Astyanax mexicanus: one gene and its partner. The protein of the gene in region 1 purifies or fractionates together with the protein of each later gene. This does not show direct contact. Links are inferred from orthologs where the notes say so. Each region holds a gene or a part of one and is shown on either strand. Other genes may lie near its edges.

The links. Proteins that work in one complex are often made in the same cells at the same time.
Region 2: the proteins of ttc4 (region 1) and edrf1 purify together in Homo sapiens (affinity purification with mass spectrometry; 3 studies listed by BioGRID and IntAct, counting the BioPlex papers as one, with this or other methods). This does not show direct contact. The link is inferred for Astyanax mexicanus from reciprocal best matches to the Homo sapiens genes TTC4 and EDRF1.

Annotation. Positions count from the first base shown.
Region 1 is NC_064412.1:25,878,927-25,886,962, forward strand, and holds the start of ttc4 (tetratricopeptide repeat protein 4), read right to left. Parts: upstream 3,249-8,036; 5' UTR 3,001-3,248; coding exon 2,902-3,000; intron 2,792-2,901; coding exon 2,674-2,791; intron 2,570-2,673; coding exon 2,408-2,569; intron 1-2,407. Other genes in the region: usp40 (ubiquitin carboxyl-terminal hydrolase 40), read right to left, coding at 7,470-7,578.
Region 2 is NC_064421.1:19,745,166-19,753,256, forward strand, and holds the start of edrf1 (erythroid differentiation-related factor 1), read right to left. Parts: upstream 3,407-8,091; 5' UTR 3,375-3,406; coding exon 3,276-3,374; intron 1,645-3,275; coding exon 1,436-1,644; intron 1,205-1,435; coding exon 1,138-1,204; intron 1,035-1,137; coding exon 909-1,034; intron 717-908; coding exon 592-716; intron 478-591; coding exon 321-477; intron 240-320; coding exon 144-239; intron 41-143; coding exon 1-40. Other genes in the region: tex36 (testis-expressed protein 36), read left to right, coding at 4,722-4,772, 5,872-5,991, 6,212-6,292, 6,477-6,791. UniProt on the Homo sapiens protein: Transcription factor involved in erythroid differentiation. Involved in transcriptional activation of the globin gene.

The sequences.
Region 1 (8,036 bases):
ACTGTTTTAAAAGAAACAAAAAAATAAATATAAATAATTATCAAAAATACACATTGCATATTTTTGAAAATGCAAAAAGCAATGCACGAAAAAAAAAATATATATATAGCCGCAAGCGGCAATCATCGGGTTCAAGCACCAACTTGCACAATGGTGCCTACTGGAGCATTGAATGGTGATGTGTAAGAAGGTCTAATATGATTGGAGATGCCCTGTCACATTTAGAAATTATCAAGTTTTTCACCTGTTATTAATGTTGAGCAGAGGCCTTTCAACCTGATCAGTGCTTAAATTCACATGTAAATCTAGTGAACTTTGTAGGATATTCATTAAGTGAGTTAGAACTAGTCAAAAGGTGTCTACATGTTATTGGTATTGATCAGGTGGCTTCAACCAGAATGTTCACAAAGTGGTATTCAGATTGACCTTTGAACCTTTGCAGAACAAGCTGAAATGTTTGACCAAACAAGTTTAAATTAACACAAAGGAGTGAATGTTCTGATATGACATGTAATTACGAAGTTATTATAAATCTAGTTCTGAATTAAATGGCGCTTCATCAAGCACCAACTAGCACAATGGTGCCTACTAGAGCATAGGATGGTGATGTGTAAGAAGGTCTAACACAATTGGAGACATTCTGTCACATTTAAAATGATCAAAAGTCTTTCACCTGTTATTAATGTTGAGAAGAGGCACAAAGGAGTGAATGTTCTGATATGACATGTAATGTCAAGTTATTCTTAATCTAGTTCTGTATTAAATGGCTGATATTGTACAGAGGTCTTTAACATTGTGAGATTACAGCAAATACTGCAGAGTTACAGCAATTTAGGTTAGAAATTCCAAGGACGCACAGATTGCTTGATGCCTGGAGAGTATTGTATGTGAAATTTTCACAAATGTTTTTAATGAACATTTACCTAGAGACTCTACAGTGTGCAGCAAGACTGAAATGGAGGTGATAGGCCAAATATCCAGAGAGTAGTTTCAATATAGCTATTTTCAAACAATTAGCAATTATGAATGAACAAAGCACTTTTTAAACATAGTTGTATTGAGAAATTTGTCAGAGCCACTGTACTAAATATGGCAAAAACAATTAGATGTCAAAATAGTACAGCATGATTGACATATACTCGTTTTTTTGGAACAGCGCCCCCCAGTGGGCGGATTGTTTCAGCACTTTGCAGGTCACTACAGTGTCTCCACCTGAACATAACTGCCAAATATCATCCAGATTGGGCAACATTCAGCCTGCCAAAATGTCTGCTGAATGCTGATTGGCTGATGGTGTTCAGCCATGTTGATTGATTAAGTTGCCCTTTGAACATCCTTTAGAGGCTGTATGATAGATTCTGCATGCAAAGTTTCAACTTGCTAGGTTGCACGGTTGCTGAGAAACAGTGCTCCAAATTTACCTCTTGAAGTGAATGGGGCATATATCCGGAAGGACTAATTTGCATATGGCGGCCATATTGTTTACATATTTCAACTTTTTCTTAATGAATATTGAAGCGCATGCTCTCACGAGTGTTTTGATACCAAACATGCCAGGATTGGTCAAAATTCCTAGGACTAGTTTGCAAAAGTAGGTTTTGCATATTATGCAAATTAGCACAAAATCTATATAGACGGAAGTGCATGGTCCAAATTGGAAAGTTGTTGGTATTGACCCAAGGAATCCATCAAAAAAAGAATTTTGAATGTAGGTCTTATGGTTTTTGAGTTATTGAGAAAATTGTGAAAAATGAATTTCCTTGTTTATAGCGCCACCACTTGACCAATCGGTGCCATTTTTGTTGTCCACCGAGATGCACTGATCCTACATCTACCTACCAAGTTTCATTTCTCTATGACTTACGGTTTAGGCTGCACAACTGTTTTTACAGGAGAAAAAGAATAATAATAATAATAATAATAATAAGAAGAAGAAAAATCTTAGCAAAAACAATAGGGTTCTACGCACCTTCGGTGCTTGAACCCTAATAAGAAGAAGAAAAATCTTAGCAAAAACAATAGGGTTCTACGCACCTTCGGTGCTTGAACCCTAAAAATTCTGTTGGCAGAAAAACACACAAACCATAGAACAGATTATGTAAAAGACATTTTAGATGTATCGGTTCTGATACATCGGCTCACAGATGCCTTGTGCTGAGGACATCACCCTTTGGAGTGATGTGGAGATAGAGAGCACCATCTACCCACCCAGAGAGAGCAAGGCCAATTGTGCTCTCTCAGGGCTCCAGTAGCCGATGGCAAGCTACATGAGCAAGATTCGAACCAGCGATCTCCTGAGGTTAAAGCAATTTTATCAAGAAAGTTTAACACCCCACTTTTGCCATCATTAGCCAGTTGTACAGTGCATGAACATATGTGAATAATGAGTGTTAGACTGAGTACATACCTAGATAAAAATGGGCTGCAGCACGATTCGTGTACAGGATGGCATTGAGGTCAGAGTCTGAGCAGTTCTTCTTCAGCCCCTCTGTGTAGGCCACTATCGCCTTCTTATAGTTCTTCTCCTTAAAATACTCGTTACCTTCGTCCTTCAGACTCTTCGCTTGCTCTAAAGAAGCAAAATAAGTATTAATACATCATTATGAAACAGCCGTCCAACAGCAAATACAATAACTAGATAGAAAGTAAAGTTTTATACAGGTGATAACCTGCCTTCTGGTGGTCGGTCATCATCGTGAATAATGGACTGAATGCAGGCGAGGTCCGGGTTCTTCAGTGGGTCTATCTCCTCTGGAGCTGTTTTCATAAACATGGGTACTTTCTCAAACTCCTGTAATTAATAAAACACAGGAGGATTTTAATAGGATGACACACAGTCATTTTAGTGTCTACTAGAGAAAGAATGGGAAACAAAGTTCAGATAAGGAAGTGTAGTCTTACCTCCTCCCAGTTGCTTTCATTGAACGCATTTTTGTATTTCTGTGTCTTAAATTTCTCCATAAATTCGTCCATTCCATCGTCGCTGTCTGACTGAGCCATTATAACGCTCTATTAGCTACACTGGAGACTGTGAGAGACGTGTTTACTGAGCTACAACCCTTATTATTACTCTGTTACTGAAGCTGGGGAAGGAAACAAACGCAGGTTAATATGACTAGATAAGAACGCTGTAGAGATATGAATAAATATGTATATATGGTAAACTATAAACAGTGCAGAGTGTAAACGCGTGTACACGCTGCGCTGAGTTCCTCTACCCCAGCACTGCAGCCGCTCCTCTAACTACAGCTCCACTGCGCCGCTTCAGGTCGGGAGCTCAGTGACGAGAACCCGGATTAAAACTATTTAAAGTATGAGTAAAAGTAATGTAAGAGGGAAAAAACGCCATTAAGGACAAATGCTTACGCCTTGCTGTTACAGTATGGAGGACCAAAACTGCCAAAATTAAAAATATATAAATGAATAAAGAAAATTCAGAAATCAAAAAGAAAAAAATATATAAAATCACTAATAAATAAATTAATAAATTCAGTATATAAATAAATAAATACAGCAACTTTAGTATTTGTATTTGAGAGCTTCTTTGTATTCTTTGTATTAGTACAGCTTTACTTTTGTCACAAACAGTAAATATCGTAGGAAGACTCAGGTCTGTGAGTGACTTATAAATAGGCTTGTTGGGAGCCGTACCATCGCTTACGGCCATACCACCCTGAGAACGCCCGATCTCGTCTGATCTCGGAAGCTAAGCAGGGTCGGGCCTGGTTAGTACTTGGATGGGAGACCGCCTGGGAATACCAGGTGCTGTAAGCTTTTCTATCTTTACTTTCTTTCCTTTATTTTTTACTCTGTTCAAGCCATGTTGTCATTTTTTTAAATGCTACACCGTGTTTACTCTTCAAATAAAGCGCTCACAGTAAACAATGTACAGTTAAAATACTCACTTAAAAGTACTTTCATACTTCTGATGAAGAATATTTCTTCTTCATGCAAATAAAAAAAGAACATTCATTCATATTTTCTTATTATCAAAGTACCGGTATTGGGCAGCTCACTACTTTTCCTGGGGTTCTATCATGCAGAAGATTTCAGATTTAACACACCTGAGTCTAGAATGATCACGTGTCCCTGAAGACCTAATTACCTGAATCAGGTGTGGCGGACTTTGGCTGTTTGGAGGGCAGCGGAGAAAAAAATAAAGGGCGCCTTAGTACATAGGGCATGTTCATTCTAGAGGGGGTGTTGCTAAAACTGGAAACATAAATAGATACAAGTTTAAGAATGGGAATAAGATTTTTAAACTATATGTCATCACTTACAACAATTAGCTTGTACCGCCAAATCCAGTTTTCTCATTGATGGGCACTAATAGGTTACTGCATGATATTGCCTCAACTACGGAAGGCCCTTTTGGGACAATGTCTAGGGGGAGGGGCAAAGACAGCACATCATAGCGACTGCCTTTCCTATTGGAAAGAAAAAGGGCACAAATAGATTGGCACTCATTAAGACGCATTAGTAAAAATGTCTTGATCTAGAAGGAACATCATCATAATTTGTCACAAGGGACACCCTAGCAGGAACTCAATCACTTTCCCCATAAGAAATTAATCAAATAACTAATATTGTCTCTCTTTTTACCACTCTAGAGGGCACTTTAGCAACACTTTTTTAACCATGGAGGCACAAGAAGGGGCCACCCCTTAAGTCCACCAGCTCGTATGACCAGAGAATGTATAGAGAGGAGAATACCCACTTAGGAATATAGAGCAAATAAATACAATTAATGTTTGATCTTTTTTTTTTTTACAAAATAATGTACTAGTTTTCTCAAACAGAACAATATCAAATGCTTCTGTACCAAATACATATTTTTTTAAAGCTTAACACCAGTTACTAGTGTTTTAAACGTGATCTGGCTCAACCTCCAGCATCAGCTCACCAGTTAGCAGTATGATTACTGTAGAAAAATGGAAACATGCAGATATTTTTTTAAGCAAAACCCGTTATTCTGCTTTGCAAAATTAAAGGAATATCCTGGTCAAGTGCTTAGTTCCAAATTTTAATTTGAGTTTGTAGCCAATTAGCTCCATTCACCCGTATTGAATTTGTACTCCCTCACGGGCTCCCTCTAGCGGTCTGCATTCATGTTGTGCTATAACGGGGGAGATATGAAGTGGGTTGAGGCTCTCCATAAACCGGCTCCAGTATAGCTGTGCAGAGTGGTAGATCTCAATGACAGTGAAAAGACTCAGGTCTGTGAGTGTCTTATAAATAGGCTTTTTGGGAGCCGCTGTTTTACTTTTGTCACAAGCAGTAAATGACAGTGAAAAGACTCGTATAAATAGGCTTGTTGGGAGCTCAGCCATCGCTTACGGCCATACCACCCTGAGAACGCCCGATCTCGTCTGATCTCGGAAGCTAAGCAGGGTCGGGCCTGGTTAGTACTTGGATGGGAGACCGCCTGGGAATACCAGGTGCTGTAAGCTTTTTCTATCTTTACTTATTTTCCTTTATTTTTTACTCTGTTTAAGCCATGTTGTCACATTTTTAAAAGGCTACACTGTGTTTACTGAAAGCGCTCACCTCGCAGTAAACAATTTACAGATTAAGTATTCACTTTTAAGTACTTTCCTTCTTCTGATGAAGAATATTCCTTCTTCATGCAAATAAAAAAATAACCACATTAATTATTTTTTTCTTATCATCACAGTATAGGTACAGGGCGGCTCACTCCTGTTCGTGGGGCTCTACCACGCTGAAAATTTCAGATTTAACACACCCGAGTCTAGAATGTTCATGTGATCCTGAAGGTCTTAATTACCTGGATCAGTTCAGTGTATGCGCGCTCTGAGAAACAGCGTGGGGGCTAGTTTGACCAAGCGTTTTGAAGTGGGGGCTGGCTTGACCGCAGTATCAAGGTGTGTGGCGGACTCAGGCTGTTTGGAGGGCAGCGGAGAATAGAAATTTAAAAGAGCACCTTTTGTAGGACGTGGTACTTTTCTTTAAATTCATGCTAAGTGTACTTTAATGTATGTGTATGATTTTATTTATTTATTTCTCAGGATATCCTTTTGTGTATTAGTTTATTTTTGTATTGGGCTTTTTCCTGACCTAATCTGAAGCTTTCATTCCAAAAGTAAAGCATCAAAATTGAATAAAAAATGTAGAGTTGAAGTGAAGACAGGGTGTTTTTATTATTATTTTGTTCTTTGGTTACTTTTTCCAGGGAAAGTTAAAAAGAGCTTTTATTTTGAGGCTTTGTATTAGTCCGTAGAGCTGTTTTACTTTTGTCACAAGCAGTAAATGACAGTGAAAAGACTCGTATAAATAGGCTTGTTGGGAGCTCAGCCATCGCTTACGGCCATACCACCCTGAGAACGCCCGATCTCGTCTGATCTCGGAAGCTAAGCAGGGTCGGGCCTGGTTAGTACTTGGATGGGAGACCGCCTGGGAATACCAGGTGCTGTAAGCTTTTTCCATTTTTACTTTCTTTCCTTTATTTTTTACTCTGTTTAAGCCATGTTGTCACATTTTTAAAAGGCTACACTGTGTTTACTGAAAGCGCTCACAGCAAACAATGTAAAGATTAAATATTCACTTAAAAGTACTTTCATACTTCTAATGGAATCATGACCTCATGCATGAAATCAGAACCTCACACTTACAATAATAACTTCACACTTACATATATTACCTTACACAGTAGACAGTTTTCAGAGAGAATTTTATTTCTTGATTAATTTTGATTTTTAAATTAAATTGATAATCAAACCAAAATGTTATGAAATACCTGAAAGTTTTTCATGAAAAAAAAATAAAGTAAATTATTTTATTTCACTCTGATCTGTTTGCTCCGCCAATTGTGTTCAACATATTCACCAGCACAGCAAAGTTCATCATAACTCGTCTTAACTATTAAAATCCACACAGACAGAAGTGTGGAAAACCAGTCTCAATGACACCAAACACACCTTACAATTTGCCCAATCAGATTGAGGAGAGATTTAACATTATTTTAACAGTGTTTTGGTGCTGCAGGACAAAGGCTTTATTATTTTAAAGGTGTGTATTTATTATTTTCTTCCCCTGGCAAAAGGAAACTTAAAGAAACTTCAGCAAACTTAAGAAAAAACCCTAAACACCTGTACAAACCTGCACACACCTGTATACACCTGCACACCTGTCATGCCACATGAACAAAATATGAGAATATTCCCAGCAAGGGAAGCTGCAAAAATACAAAAATCTCAGAAAAACAAAATTAAAAAAAGAATTTAACCGATAACTAATGAAGTAGAAAACAGAACTAAGTCCTGTAAGCTGGCAAGAGACCTTCCCACAATCCACTGCGGGAGGATCTACAAATTCTGATTTCAGACTCCGCAACATATTCTAGCAGCAAGTCTTTACAGTATTTCCCATGAGCCACTCCTTTTCTTCATGCCATGACCCTTGACCCGGTGTGGTCTGTTTGTGGTGGGTGTGTCTTTCTAGCTGGGGCGGTACTATCTGAACACACCCACATTGATAGACAAGGCCACTTCAGGCTTCCTGCGTTTAGTTGCTCTGGTCTTTCCCTCAGTACACGTCTCCTGGCTGACCTCACCACGCCCTCTAGTGGACATAAAAAAACAATAATTTATCTTTCTCTTTTAAGTATTATTTCATGAGACAAAATTATAGGAATTGAACTTGGATATAACTTAGAATAGTCAATGTATAGCTTGTATAGCAGTGTAGATTAACTTCTGAAAATAACTCAACACACAGTCATTAACGCCTAAATAGTTGGAGTACACCTCCAAAGTGTGCCAATTTGTATCGTTGTCCCTTCCTGGTGTTGTGTGTCTCGTTGCCGTGACAAACTCGAGGGATAAATGTGGAGCAGAGCTGTTAAATTATTTTTTTTTGGGTACAATTCTCTCAAACTGCCACCAGACATTCAGCATGGCACTTCACGGCAAAGAACTCTCTGAGGATGTGAGAAATAGAATTGTCCTTCTCTACTAAGATGGCCTAGGCTATAAGAAACTGAGCTACAGCATGGTGGCCAAGGCCAACAGCAGTTGTCC
Region 2 (8,091 bases), on another chromosome or scaffold:
ATGTCCAGAGGATGTTCCGTACATATTCATTCCTTAAGCCCTGTGCCAAAAAGAGAGAAGACTAGCTAAATAACACTGATTATGTCTAGTGATTCTACTTTCATTCAGTAACACAAGCAAAAATAATTGTGCTTTACTCTTACCTGGCTATTCTCTCCTTCATTAAAAAGTGTGGGAAGGTTCTGCTCTTTAGGAACAGATGACACATGACCAAGAGCATACGTGTTCCCCACTCGCTCCTGAAAAAAAAAAGAAAAAGAGAATATAAAACCTCTCTAAAATCGATTTCAGACATAAACAAACGAAGCAGCTAATTATACCTCTTTGGGAATAGTGGACTGCTCTGATTCAGAGGCAGGGCTGCTGAAGGGTGCAGGCCAGGACGGACCATATTCAGCACTTCCACAAGCCTCTTCTTCCTCAGCACAGTTGTCCGAGTCTGAGGGCACAGGTTCGGCAACATCATTTCCATGTATACTGAAAGACAAGACAAAGTAGTGCACTTGATTACTGATGGCATTAGACGAGAACTATTACTATAATACTAATGTTCAGTTAAGAAGCCATTATTAATATATATTTCTAGCTCACCTGTAGTAAAGAAACTTGGAGAGGATGGCCTTTTCATACCAATGCTCTTTACTTTTCTTCTTCCTTTGCCACTTCTGGTCAATAAGTCTCTGGTAAAACTCCTTTAACCACGTCCAGTCTCCCGTCTAAACATGTGAAATAATTCAAATAAGCTCAATAAACTAAAATCTTATGTTGTTGGTTAGGTTTGGCATAATACAATGTGTAATTACACCATTCACTATATACCATTGGTAAGGCCTTCAGAGCTCACAAGACAAGAAGCAAATATGAAAGTAGATTAAGCATGTTATCTCAGTAGAAGGGAATGTGCTCACATGGGATGACCGCATAAAGAGCTCTTGAATGTCAAGCTCATCCAGCAGCAGAGTCCTGCCCACCCGATGAACTGCCATGCTGACATGAGACTTACTATACGGGATCTTCAGCAACTTTTTTATGTTCTGTCAAAGACAGAAAGAGACAGTGATAATAGAGCCCAGAATTCAGAGGACTGATCAGCAACTGATATTTTAGATAACTTTATAACAAAAAAAAACAACTCACCTCTGAATCAGACACCACATCAACATCATTCCCAATCGAGTCAATGAAGTCATAGGCCATACCAAAGCTTAAAAAACACAAATAAAAGCAATTAATTATTATAAGAAGATCAACTTAAAAATTCAAGAATGCATTTATTATTCAAGAATACATCTTTTAACTTCTATTACTTTTGTACTTCACTATTATAAGTCGCTTTGGACAAAAGCATCTGCCAAATGTAATTTAATGTAATGTAATGTAATGTAATGTAATGTAATTTTCTGAAAATCTCAATGAGAGTGTTTATTGTTTATACCTAGAGAATGGCTTGCTTTTACTGCTGGATCCAAGTACAGTGGTCCCAGCAGAGCCGAGCTGGGCACTCTCTCGCAGCCAGTTGGCAGGGGGCAACTTGAGATCGGTCTGCTCCTGAAGAAGTGCATAGGTGGCCGGAGGTGGTGCGGCAGAGTATTTCACCACAGCACGACTCTTTACTTCATTATTACCAAGACATTCAACCACCCCCTAAACAACAAACAAACAACAGTGCTTACAGACAATGCAATGTAGTATATTAATCAGAACTTAAAACATTAAACTTCACAAGCACAACTACATAAACATAAACAAAGAACAGAAGGAAGATTTAAGCCATCTGCATCTTTTAAAATCGGACTGTTTGCTACCAAAATAAACGTCTTACATGTATTATATTATTTATGATTATTCTATTAACAGTTTCCCCTACTATGTGTCTAGTGACATGGCTCCTTCCTCTCCATTATGCAAGACTGGTGTAAAGGAGGAGAACACAAACACTGAACCAAATAAACAGCTCAAAATGAAAAATAATAAAAAAGAATGTGTCCTTTTTAAATAGGAATTCATGAATTTCTCCAGAAACCAATGATCAACATGTTGTTAACAATATTAACAACACTCTCTGTGAACTGAACATTGGTGTATAATGACAGTGGGATTTTTGCTTTTGCAACAAGCAAGTGTTAACGTGGGCATGGTTTAATTTATTCTATGTGACTTTGCTCATACTGCAATGTAAATATTGCAATTGGACAAACTGCAACTACTATGTTGAAACAGTAAATTAGGCAGCCTGATAAAGCACCACTTAATGGAATTAGTTGGATTGTGATCTAAAAAAAGTCCTAAGACTATACACCCACTTTAGTGGTATGGCTACATAGCGTGAAACATAAGTGAAATCTAAAATTAAAACTAAAATGATATACCTACTTTAGTGGTACACATAGTTAAATTATTTAAATCCTAAGATTACACATCCACTTTATAGCTACATAACCTGACAGCTACCCAGATTACATAGCTATCCACTTTTTGGTACAGATAACCAGACTACTCCTAAGAATATATATCCACTTTAGTGGTATTTCTTAATGGCCTGAGAGCTACTAAATTTCCTAAATCCTAAGATTATATACCCACTTTAGTGGTACACATAGACAGATTACTGGAGTTCTAAGATTATATACCCAATTTCGTGGTACACATAGCCAGAATACTGAAGTCATAAGATTATATACCCACTTTAGTGGTACACATAGACAGATTACTGAAGTTCTAAGATTATATACCCACTTTAGTGGTATATCTTAATGGCCTGAGAGCTACTAAATTTCCTAAATCCTAAGATTATATACCCACTTTAGTGGTACACATACACAGATTACTGAAGTTCTAAGATTATATACCCAATTTCGTGGTACACATAGCCAGAATACTGAAGTCATAAGATTATATACCCACTTTAGTGGTACACATAGACAGATTACTGAAGTTCTAAGATTATATACCCACTTTAGTGGTACACATAGACAGATTACTGAAATTCTAAGATTATATACCCACTTTAGTTGTACACATAGACAGATTACTGAAGTTCTAATATTATATACCCACTTTAGTTGTACACATAGACAGATTACTGAAGTTCTAAGATTATATACCCACTTTAGTGGTACACATAGCCAGAATACTGAAGTCATAAGATTATATACCCACTTTAGTTGTACACATAGACTGACAGCTACTGTCCAGGTCACCACGGTAGCTAAAGTTACAACTGCTGATGGTAATTACAACTTATTAAGTTACTGAGTTTCAAGAGCACTGCTTACCTGTTTTGTATCATCACTGGCAGCGCTGTCATGCTCCAGGTCTTCATGCCTGTGGTCTGCAGACACAGACGACACCTGTTCTTGTTGTGGGGAACTCATTTTCAGCCGGACAGCAGCCTCTGGCCACCTCTCTGAGCCATCCAGAAACTTCGATGAAGTAGCTCCGACTGTCTCCCTGCGGTGTAAGGCTTTATAAGACGGGACTCAGTCAAACATGTTAACTAGTTAGTTAGGTAACCTAGCTGACTAGCTATAAGAGTGTAGCTGTAGGTGCTGCTGTTATTGTTTTGTAGTTAGCATTAGGTGGCTAACGTAATGTCACTCATACCTGTGAGCTAACCTAAGCTAGCTACGTTACACTACAAGTGGTATTGTTTTCAGAGCTGTCAGCTTTAGGTAATAACTTTAGGATGCTAAACCTTGATAGAATGGGTTTCGACCAGGGTTAACTAACGTCCCGACGTATTAACTAGTTAGCGTTAGTTAGGTTAACTAACCCAGATAGGTGCTCCCTCTTACTATACGATCCTTCAGCTCAGCTAACTCACATTTAACCATCACTAGCGCTGAACTCGCACTACCCGGAAACACATGTGACGTCGGCAAAAAGTTCTAGAAAATATCTTTATAAGATATTTCCTGACAGACACGATATTCAAGTATTTAGCTTTATATTTAATTATTTCATATACTTATGTAACGCTACACATTTTCTCTCAGTGTACGTAGCTAAATAGCTCTCTATGCCCTGATTTGTTTGGGAGGAAATGTGATCCACCGCTTTATCATGATTAATCTAACAAAAGTAGCTAACTTTAGTTTACCAAAGGCAAATTTATGAAAAAAAAAACACTGTTTTAGTAAGTCTACAACAAGAAAGATTTTTTTGCACGTATACGTATTGTTTTTTTTTTTGACCCACCGTTATTTATTTATTTATTTATTTTTATTGTATTGTAATAAATAAATAAATAAAATAATTAATTAATTAACTATGGCAAGTTAAGCTATATTTATATATGTTTCTCTTGTTAGTTAGCTGGCTAATTTGGCGATACCTGAGAGTACCACTTTACTTTGTTGATTAGTTTTTATTTATTCACTTTTATTTCTTTAAACTTCCCTTTTTCGCATTTTAGCAAGCTCGATAACTAAAAATGCTTTGCCATACAAAAACAAAAATAAAGTTACTTGTTGCACCTTTAGCTACATTCATGTCCAATCACATGGCCTGCCTGCATTCTGTTGTCATGGGGACAAAAAATGTCCCTCAGCAGACACGCGTTTCATTACAGACACATCTCACTGCTCTCCTATTGAAGCTCACTTTAAATACACTTTTCACTTTAAATACATTTTTCACTTTACACTTTTCACTTTGAATACACGTTTATGATTTAAATATACTTTAAACTAGAACCATTTTATATTTAACAGGTAGTTAACATGATGAAAGGAGGCAAAAGATACGCAAATATGGAGCAAGATGGTAACTGGGTGAGACATCTTTTTTTCTGTGCTGCTAATCATCAAACAAAAACAACAAAATCTAGATACTATTACTACAAAAAAGAAATAAAAATGTAACATTTTAATGGCAGTCAATGTAAAAGAATTTCATTTTTACTGATCCATCCCAAATAAATGTATCTAGAAGTTATAGACCACTTCAGTTTCTGAATCAGTTTCTCTTGTTTAAGTAATTATAGGCATATATTTGAGTAAATTGAACATTATTGTTTTATTCTATAAACTACAGACAACATTTCTCTCAAATTTCAAATAAAAACATAGTCATTAGAGCATTTATTTGCAGAAAATGAGAAATGCCTGAAATGTCAAAAAGATGTGGAGCTTTCAAACCTCAAATAATGCAAAGAAAACAAGTTCATATTCATAAAGTTTTAAGAGTTCAGAAATCAATATTTGGTTGCATAACCCTGGTTTTTAATCACAGTTTTCATGCATCTTGGAATGTTCTCCGTTCTCCTCCACCAGTCTTACACACTGCTTTTGGATAACTTAATACTACCCCTAGTGCAAACATTCAAGCAGTTAAGCTTGGTTTGATGACTTGTGATCATCTATCTTCAGGTTTTCAATTTGGTAAAATTAAAGGAACTTATTTTTTAAATGGTCTCTTATTTTTTTCCAGAGCTGTATATGTAAAATGCATTTTAAATACATTTCAAATATACCATTATAATCTATATTTTATTTCAAAATATTTTTCAAACTATTGCAGTAGATTTAGGAAAAAAACTTTTTTCACCAACTTCATACATTTTCAAATATTAAATCTTATAAATTTATTTACTATTCCTAAAACTATTCCAGGTGACTCTACCTCATGAAGCCACTGTAAAAAAAATATACCAAGAGTGTGCAAATCTGTGATCAAAGCTAAATGTGGCTACTAAAAGTTTACACATTTTTTACAAAATAATTCTGCATGTTCCTGTATAGCTCAAAAATGTAAAACCAGCAAATGATGGACATGAAAGAGTCATAGAAAATATAGCTAAAAATGTCTTCCCTCAAAGAATAAAACTGTTTAATCCACACTATTTCTATATCAAATAAACTCTGTTTTTAGTTTGCTCATGGTGGTGAAAAGTCAACAATGTTTACGAGCACAGGAACCATGATGGCTCAAGGAGTGCTCCAGCCTGTGCCACATGCAGCAGAAAGATATCCAAAACGAAACCCTGAAAAGGTTAGTTATATTATTTTTCTAGCTATAGTTTATAGGATATGTACATGCAGTGCAACTGTCAGCAAATTATGTTTATTTAGTTAGTTAACAGGTGGCAATCATATATGATATACAACATAATACACATTTTATATTATATTGCCTTTATTATGATGATTTTCTGTTCTGTATCAATAAAAATGTAAAACATTCTGGTTTTTTTTTCATTCTTTTTATTCAGAAAACAATGGGAAGAGACTACCCTTTTTCAGCGCATGATAACCGGGCAACACTGCAGAATAAAATTGAAACATATGATCATGTAAGTTTGTATTGTTTCAAGAAATTTTGACACAGTGTAAATAATACTACCAAATAAAAACCAATCTCAGTTATGTCAAAAAGTGACAAAACAAAGCCATTTGAAAAATAAATATATTTATTTATTACTAAATAACTTTAGAAGACATGATTATTATGCTGTGTATTTCTGTAATTTTCTTTAGGTTTTGGGTCGGAAGAAGTGTCTTGATGACCACAGGCAGCATAGCTCTCATTTTTGCCTTTGTCATGATAGCAGTGTGTGTGCAGTGGGACTGACGCCGAGAACTCATTCTGCCTATCAGTCTGACTTTGTTCCAAGGCAGGGAGCAGAGAGTGAGGAGGGCACACACAGAAGGCGCTTTCCCAGGAGTCATCTGGAGCGGTCTCAGCAGGCTGTTAATGCTGGGGAACATTACATGTGGTTTGGAAGGCATGATCTCGACCACCACACACCTCTTAATGTATTAGCAGATTCAAACCATTCCTCACCACTATAACTGACATGATGCAGTTCCTGCAGAAAGTATTAAAGCAGTCTTAAGAAATAGCAGCAGTGTTCTTTGTGAGTTTTTGTGTTTCCAGTTTCTACCAGTTTTACAGAAGCCCATGACTTTTTTATTGTCCACAAAGAGCTTTCTTTAATTTTAAAATTATTAAATTAAATACTTACCCATGCTGTGTTACACACATCCCTGCCTGGTATTGCATAGCCTGGTAAAACATATGCTGCTTCCCTATTGTGTTCTACACTAATACTAATACTATAAAGTATATACTATAAAATTATCAAAACAGTGTGGGTTTGGTAGATTAGTACAAAAAATATGAACCTACTAACCCATTTTAACCTGTATTAACAGGAAGTGATGAAGTATTCTCCAACATTTTTGTTTTGTTTTTGTTTAGTTTTTTTATTTTCCTCCCTTTTTGACATTTATATGTTACGACAATAATGTACTACATTTATTATTTCTGTTAATAATAATGCAAAAAGAAGGAATTTTAATTAACTGCAGCATGGTTGTCTGCAGTTTTTACTTTTCAATATCATTTGTTAATAAATAAATTTTAGCAACAAAAAATTAGAAAAGGTTGAACGAGTCAGCTTTTTTTGTGAGCCGAGCCATAACAACTGGCTCATTAAAAATAGACCGTAATTCCCATCACTACCATCAAGATATGTGCTAGTCTTCTCACTCCCAGTGTTTGGGGGCATCACCATTGATACTGGGAGTTCATACAAATGGGCAATGGATAATTGTTCTTTCAAACTGGGGAGAAAATGTGGTAAAATTAGAAAATAGTTAATTAATTAGCTCACTGCAAACAAAACCATCTTTTGGAGCTACAGTAAATGCTTTGAAGAGCCTTTATGTCCTTTTTACTGTTTGTGTCCAAAACTTAATGACTTGATGCCTTGCTACCCACTGTTATATTAAGAAGGTATCTGTATTTGAATCAAAAAGAAAGGGGTATCTATCACTCATTGCTAAATATGAGCACGGTAGCTGTGATATTACCCAATAAAACACAGGAATTTCTGAACTTAGATTACTAAATTTCGATTCAGACATGAATTCAGCATGCCTTAGAGAATCACTAAACTACTTGATGTTTGCTGACTCCACCCTAAATTTGGAAAGGGTTAAAAAGAAATGGGAGGGGTAGTTTGGGAGGGGCACTGGGTGATGTGTGGGTTTAGAGACAGGGCAGGAGGGAGAGATGATTGGCTGAGCTGCAGCAGTGTGCCTCCAACAGTAATGAGACGTAGATGGTTGGACATCACCAGCGGGGCCG